Neodiprion lecontei: one gene and its partner. The protein of the gene in region 1 interacts with the protein of each later gene in a biochemical or structural test. Links are inferred from orthologs where the notes say so. Each region holds a gene or a part of one and is shown on either strand. Other genes may lie near its edges.

Region 1 (3,932 bases):
AATCACTGAATAGAGTCATAGAACGAACCTCGACTGCTGAAGGTCTGGTTAATGGATCGAGAGTTAGCAGAGCATCGATGGCCTCCATTGCGGAAGCTGATAAGGCCTCATCCTCTGTTGGCCATGGAACGTCCCGAGCCAAAATATTGGTAAACACCGCCTGCGGTGTCTCGTCGTTGAAGGGTGGAATTCCAGTGCAGAATTCGTATAGGCAAACCCCAAGTGCCCACCAATCGACAGCTGAGCTGTGACCCTGCCTTAGAAGTAATTCAGGTGCCAAGTAATCTGGTGTGCCAAGAATACGGTCGTCTGACCGCGACGACAACTTTCCACCTCTCCTTACCGACTTTGGAGTTCTGTATGGCGTATGACTACCCACAGATGTCCCTGGGGTTTTAATAGGTGAGATACCTGGATGGTCGTCATCTGTACCAAGCTGTATGTCAGGTGCAGACCGAGACGTTGATTGTGGCAACTCAAACCTGGTTGTCTTGATTAAAATTGGTTTATCGCTCTCGCTTGCCTGCCGATGTTCTTCCAATTTAGGGTGCCGATGAGTATGATTATGATTGTGGTTCTGGAGGTGATCCCTGCCATTGCCATTGTCGTTGGATTCGTCATCTTGAGTTCGTCTCTGCTTTATGGAGGAGACTGGAGTACTGAATGCGACGCCTCCTCCGCTGCTGCCCGTCCCTTCGCCATTCGTTACCTTAGCAGTAGTAATTGCTGGATGTGGGGAGACGGCACGGGAAAATGACGTCCCTCGATTCTTCCTTTTGGGTGTCGAGTTGACCTCTAGACCAAGAAGATGAATTTCCTTGGTCAATCCTGTTGCTGCAGTAGCAGTGTTCCTCTTTCGCTTTGTTCCTCGGGTAAACGAGATCTGGCTACTGCTCAAAGGACTTGTGTGACTGAGTTGCTTATTAGGCCAATCAGCCTCTAGCGTTGAATCATCGTCTTCAGTCTCTCCCTTGCTGCTATTCACTTTAACAACCGAACTTGAAGCTTCACAGGTGTGAAAACTGCTACCAGTGCTGTTATCATCGCTCTCGCCTAGCCCCTTGGAGCTTGTACTGCTGTCCGTATTATTACCGTTGGCTAACCGAACATCTTCTGCAGATTGAAATAGTGTGATTCCAGAAACTTGGCAGTAGTCACCCGATGCCCCAATCGAAGATGTGAATGAACCGCAACATCGTCCACTAGTTTTTGAACTGTTATTACGAAGAATTTGGATAAGGTTGGTGGCTGGATTACTCCTCTGACTCGAATCCGAAATATTTGCCTCAAGGCTCGACTTCTGGCCTGATCCAAACGACAAGTGAGAGGTAAGCGACAGTAGCTGGCCAGGAGTTCTGGTAAGGAGACTAGGTGTGCAATTGACAAGATCAGATATCTCGAGGTCCCTCTGCATTGCAGGTATTCGACTAAGTCCAAAGTCCGTTAGTTTTACATGACCCTCACGGGACAGCAGCATATTGTCCGGCTTCAGATCTCTGTGCACGATACCATGGGAGTGAAGGTACTCCAGAGCAAGGCAGACTTCTGCCGTGTAAAATGCTGCCATGGATTCTTCCATGTAACCGCAATTCCCCAATAAACTCTTGAGGTCTCCACCCACCATGTACTCCATCACCAAATAAACACTGCTGATCGATTGCAGGGAATAAAACAGCTGAACGCAGTATGGGCTGCGTGTCAAAGCCAAAGCGTTTCTCTCAATAACTACCTGTGATGCCATGTTCTTATTTATCATTTCATTTTTCTTCATTACTTTTATGGCATACATTTGCTCTGGATTTGTCTTTTTGTAGCCTAAAAAGACTTTTCCAAATGCACCTCTACTGATTGGCTTGACAATTTTAAAATCCTGTATTTCCGGCACCTGAAATGAAATATTTTTCATAGTAGTTAGTGGTCTGTAATTAATATTTTTCATTGCGTCGAATGGAAATGCATTGAATATTAACTGGACTACAGGATGTACATAAGGATGTGGGTAATCGCAGAAGCAGTCCGATAAATCATTATCCCAAGTCTAGAGCAGTGGACAGTAGGAAAATAAATAGAGTCAAACGAAAATCAGCAAAAGGACAGCAACAAGCAGATTATATAGCAAAACTAATTTATAATAAGATCCCAATAAATTTAAGAGATAGCAGCATTCAGTCTTGGAAAACTGGCATAAAAAAATGAATATTTGATGTGTGATAAAGTATTGACACCTTATACTTAACATATTTACTACAAGATATGCAAATTGAAGATAACTAGACAATAATATAATTTAACAGTGAAGAGGATGAATAAACTCGAAGCTATAAACTATAACAAATTGTTTTCAACAAACTTTAGTTCCAATAATCCCTTAACATTAATTTAGTAACTATTTTTATATGGATACTTATTTAACTAGACCGTATGAGGTTTGATACATTCTTATGAATTTCACCTTGGCTGTGCAATTGACTATTTTTCCGATAGTATTGAAGATTGAATTATCTATTTGCTTGACATCTGACTGCGGCGTGAGCTCTCCAGGCCGTAACACCGATTCTTCGAGGGTACAGGAGCTCGAGGTTTCTGTGGTATCAATTTCGTCGCTGAACGGTTGACCCGGCATCTCTGTCGTCGAGTTTTCCATTTATTTACTCGGAAATGTACCGTAAAATAGGTCCAGCTACTGTTTGAATGACGTTAACTTGGTAATGTAACATATGTGGCATTTCTATGGAAAGAAAGCAAATCCTGACATCCTAACTGTGACAGTCAAGGTTCAATCATGACTAGAAGACACATCAAATTATCAACATAGTTCCGCAATTTGTTGATTTAACATCTGGAATACGCGGGTCAACGCGACGATCGGTTACAACCATAGAAGCATGAGGATAGAGTGTGACAGGCGGCTCTGAACGTACCCGCCCTTACAGAAAGAGATGTCTTGAAACCTGCCTTTATCCGTAGACTGGCGCATGCGCAGTCAAGAAAGTAACTTGTATATCGTCGTGTCTAACTAGTCAGCTGCGAAGGCAGACCATTTGATAATGTCTCGTTTTGTGAGACTCATACTTCGGAGGTTCTATTCTTTCGTGAACATAATTAAGATTTCTTACGTCCATGTGTGTGAAATATCCTATGAAGGATGTGTATGAAAACAGCCTTCGGTACGAGGGGCCGACCGAATATCAAATGTAGTCGATCAAGTTATCCATAACGTAGCTAAAAGTGAAAATTTAAACGAAGATATTAAACGAAGATATAAATCACGATTCCACAACTAATTACAAGCCATCCATGCATGTCATTGCTATTTGCTAAAAGGACCAACCACGATTACACAGGTCTGCAAGCAAAAAATTGCGCAGGCATTATTACACCATTTCTTATAGATTTTTACGCTCTGAAACCGGAAAAAACACTCAAAAAAATCCATCACGTCCAGTTTTTTCTTAAACTCGTCTTTGCAGTTTCAATTAGACTGAAACTCTCGTTTAACACGAAATCTAGAGACTAAAGAATAAATATAAACAGGAACAAAGAAAATGAAAAGCGGAAACCTGTTCAGAGAACTATCAAAAAGAAGAAGGAAGGGTTTCATAAGGAAAAAGAATGAACACGGAATGTTAAGTACATTTAAAAGAAGTATTGTTCAGGTGCATTGAAATGAAATGGTGGTTTTTTCATTATTCTTGTATGCTTTTGTATGCTAATACGTTGTATTTTGCAAAGATGGAGTGGAATGGAAGTAACTTTTGGATTTAGCACACTCGAAAACATAACATTTACCAAAAACATCACATGCAGCTGAAATAAACTATCTTTTTGCAGACCTGTGTTATCTGGCTACTTCATCGCCTCCAATGAATTTTTCTTTTCTGTTCAAAGGTGTGTCCTCATTGGTCACGCTGATGTCCGATCTGCGCATAGAA
Region 2 (3,932 bases), on another chromosome or scaffold:
GCATATGTATTATAATTGATTACTGTCGTTATTCACCTGGAGTACAACAGCGATTGTTTATGAGACATAGTAGCTATTTGCTTAACATTATTAGGATCGCGCTGCTGCGAATATTCTTAGGTGTTTGTGTTATAACTATCTTAACAAATTTAGGGTATTTAACAATTTGATAATTCGTAGTTTTAGAGCAGGTTTACATGTGTGCTTTCGTACATAATTCTCTTCTGTAATTATAAATTCTTATATCGATATAAATCGGCTTAGAAGCTTTTAGAACATTTTTCTCATGTTTGTTGGTTGCCTGTTACTGGGCGTTGCCACGTATGCATCTTTGAGTTTATGTGAGTTGATTTACCTTCAATCGTTTCGTCGTTAAGTTTCCTAATGTGTTCTCTAGATGGAGCTCTGTATGGCTCCTCATTGGAGATCTGCATTGTCTTCAAAAACGCTGCGCGTGTTGCCTACAATACGGCGTTACGGAGCAAAGTATGATTCATGCTGGATAATTGGTATGCACGGTTTTGAAGGTTTTACAGTCTCTGATTTAATGGATTATTGCAACAGTGCTATCTTTACATTATATTGGTTATACATTTATCTATGGTTTCACAGTCCTCTATACTCCAGGTTATATGGTATAGCGTAAGTTGCTTATTGTGTAGCTCTCAGTTTCGAATGCACAAATGGCATTGTTGTGTGTTATATAATAATTGGATATAATGGTGTTAGTTAATTATGGTGTTAATATAGTGATATATAATAATGTATAATAATATTATAGCTCTTTGTAGTGCAACGATCTCGTAACATGGTTTTTGAGCTTTGGTTAGTGAATGTCATAATTGTTTCCATCTAGGGATATTCCAAATAGTTAGACAGTTGTTTTAATACCTTATGGTTACAAGATTCTCGTACTTCGAGTTTGGTTAGTTGATAAAAGTGATATGCAGTAATAATAGTCGATAAAACATACGAACGTTCCGGTCGGATGTTACACCGTCATGAATACGATCAACCAATCGGGTGGATGGTTCCAAGAGGAATATCCCAAACTCTTGTCATTGATTGGTTGCTTTCTTATACGATATGCATGAAATCGATGCGCTGTGAACATGGCTTTATACGGGCAAATTAAACCCGCTCTCTTAACCAGTGGTTCCGAACTGGTAACTGACTTCTGAATTTGTTGATCCATTGGCCTTCATAAATAGTTCGAAGATTTGTCCGAGTCAAAACGTAGCTTGCCTGTGTGAATTAACGTGATAAAAGCCAAAACCCCATTCGAAAGTAACCTTATATTAATCGGCTTTCGACCGTTCGTAACCTCGCAATACCGAAGTCGAAAAGCTGGTTGAACTAACTATACAGGTTTGGTTCTTCTTTTCGACATTACGGATCATATTTCGCGAAATATTATTTTCCATCGTTTATATTTTTCATCTCCGCGTTAATACATAAATTATACGTAAACATACATATACAAACAATCGAGGATGTGCGACAATCAGAAAGATGAACAAACAGACGAAACAACTCAATCAATCGAGGTAAGTTCGTCTTCACTCTTAATAAAATTTGTACACAGTCACATTATATATATAGCATAATCTGTATTGATGTTAATCGCTGAACCGTTAACTTTTACCATTCTGTTGATGGATAGGTATATGTAATTGACACTTTGTTCTTGTTGCAGTTGTCGTCAAATGACATTGAAAAAATAGAAGAAGCCAAGCTTAGGGCCAAATTCCCAAATACCGGCGGACGCCCCATTAGCGGTCATTCTGCGTTTCTTCAGAAAAGATTAGCCAAAGGAGTGAGTATAACTACAAAATGACCTAGATTCTCAACTATATAATGTGACATATATTTGTTTCATCTTCATGATTCAAGCCATGTAATAGCCTTTTCCCCCAAAATAGAGAAATATATAAAACTTGCAAAGATAATCACAGACAATTTTTCTGAGATTATTTAATTTAATACCTGCAATAGTTGAGTCCAATTTTAAGCGAGAATAGACGGACGTGGACGATAAATGCCCCTCCATAAGGAAGGCAGGCAGACGTAACAACCAAATGTACCAATGTCGATAAAAATAAGGCAGTGTAGCCTAATAACCAAACTTTTTTCATATCTCATTGGGAGCTAGTACTTTTATAAAATTACAAGTAACAAATTGTTTAGAATTATCCTATTTAAATATACCAAAGTACTGTATACTTGGGATATTTTTTACGTTGTCCTATGTGAGTTTTATACTTGCCATATCGTAGCCAACGCTCCCTTCCTATCAAATCTTATGATTGTTTTAACGGAGGCTGTTGGCCATCAAAAATTGAGCGTAATTAGTGAATCTTCTTAACAATCTCTTATTGTGAGTGGCGGTAATTGTTATCTATTCTTATTGCTCTTATCTTACTGTATTTCTCTACATTCTCAGATTTGACTTTAAACAATAAGGTTGCCAGAAACGCTGAGCAAAGCAGAAAGCAGCTATAAATATTGGTTGTTCCGTCACAGAGATATATTCAATATGCAATTCTATACTTAGTACTTATTGCCAAAAGCATTCATCAGACTCTAGGAATCATAAGCAGGCTTTCATAAGTTTTAAATCTTGTAATAGATATGTTTATAGTCTTGAATTCTGTTCAATTTATGGAACAAGTTTACTATTTTATTATAGGATGTTCATTCACTTCAGTTCTGTGCTTTCTATTCGCTTATAAAACTTTTAATTACACATTATTTAAAAAAAAATTATATTCTAGATTTCAAAATTCCGCATGCAGTCAGTTGTATCTGTGTAGTAGTCCAAACGTTTTCAATTTAGAATTCAAATTTTTTACTTCGTACCAACATATTCTGTGCAAGATATCTTTACAATGAGCTTCATTTTATTTTTTAGTCCATGTTATGCAATCAATGACTGCAGGCAGAATTAATCCAGGATTTTTTAGAGCTGGGATTAAACAAAGTTTTCTCAGAACAAAAGCGATTTGGTCTTAAAAACGTATCTAGTAGCTCACGGTTGGTAAAAATTGTATTTGTACCGAAACCACCAGTTTTTGTTTTTTTTTTACAAGACCAACTAAAATATGTAAATTCAATAAATGTAAATTAAACATTTAGAGAAGTTAGGTTTATAACCTTGAAATGGATACAAATTCCTGTGCGCTGTCTAGCTTAAATATATTCAAATGATAATGATATGCACAGTGGACTGTTCTATGTAAAAACGATCGATCGGATCTCACAATCCAATTGTTTTCTAGAGTTATGTATCCGTAGGCTGCAAGAAGTTACATATTTCTGCCAGACACCGTTTTCAAGGCTTGTCGAGATTATGTAAAGTTATTTGCAGTAAAAAATTTCTGAGAAATCTGTCAAAAAAATCATAATTCCGTTGACAATATTACTAAATCGGTCACGATTTAGCAGTATCACCGTGCAGGGGATAGACTAATTTTGTGAATTTGATTTCTGTTATCTAAATTTTTGTTTTGATTCTTAAATTTATTTTTAGTGAAAATCTCTTAGTGAAATGCTTTTGTGAAATGCTTTTTTGTTCAAGAGAAAATGATTTTTTTTATTAAAGGGATGACAATCAACTCACAGGTTTTTTTCCTGCAATTTACGGACTAGAGTTCTCTGTACACATAATTGTTCATGGTAAACGTAAATAATTTTGCGACTCTATGATCAATTACATGTTCTCTAAAAAGATAAATCAGTTTTTTTATTTAAATCTTTGTTTTACTGAAACTATTAACAACGCACATGCTTTTCTTTTTTTACTTGTTACTTTTACTTCAAAAACAGTGCATACGAACATTTAAATGAGCAATACAGTTGTCAAATTCATAATCAATTGATATGAATTGTTGGCAGTATTAAAAAATTGATTTATCTGCTGTTTTCATACCTTA

The links.
Region 2: of the proteins of serine/threonine-protein kinase greatwall (region 1) and alpha-endosulfine, one has a biochemical effect on the other in vitro, tested with the Drosophila melanogaster proteins (2 studies listed by BioGRID). The link is inferred for Neodiprion lecontei from reciprocal best matches to the Drosophila melanogaster genes gwl and endos.

Annotation. Positions count from the first base shown.
Region 1 is NC_060260.1:38,953,342-38,957,273, reverse strand, and holds the start of serine/threonine-protein kinase greatwall, read right to left. Parts: upstream 2,832-3,932; 5' UTR 2,645-2,831; coding exon 2,453-2,644; intron 1,886-2,452; coding exon 1-1,885.
Region 2 is NC_060266.1:17,445,072-17,449,003, reverse strand, and holds the start of alpha-endosulfine, read left to right. Parts: upstream 1-1,120; 5' UTR 1,121-1,493; coding exon 1,494-1,547; intron 1,548-1,696; coding exon 1,697-1,816; intron 1,817-3,932.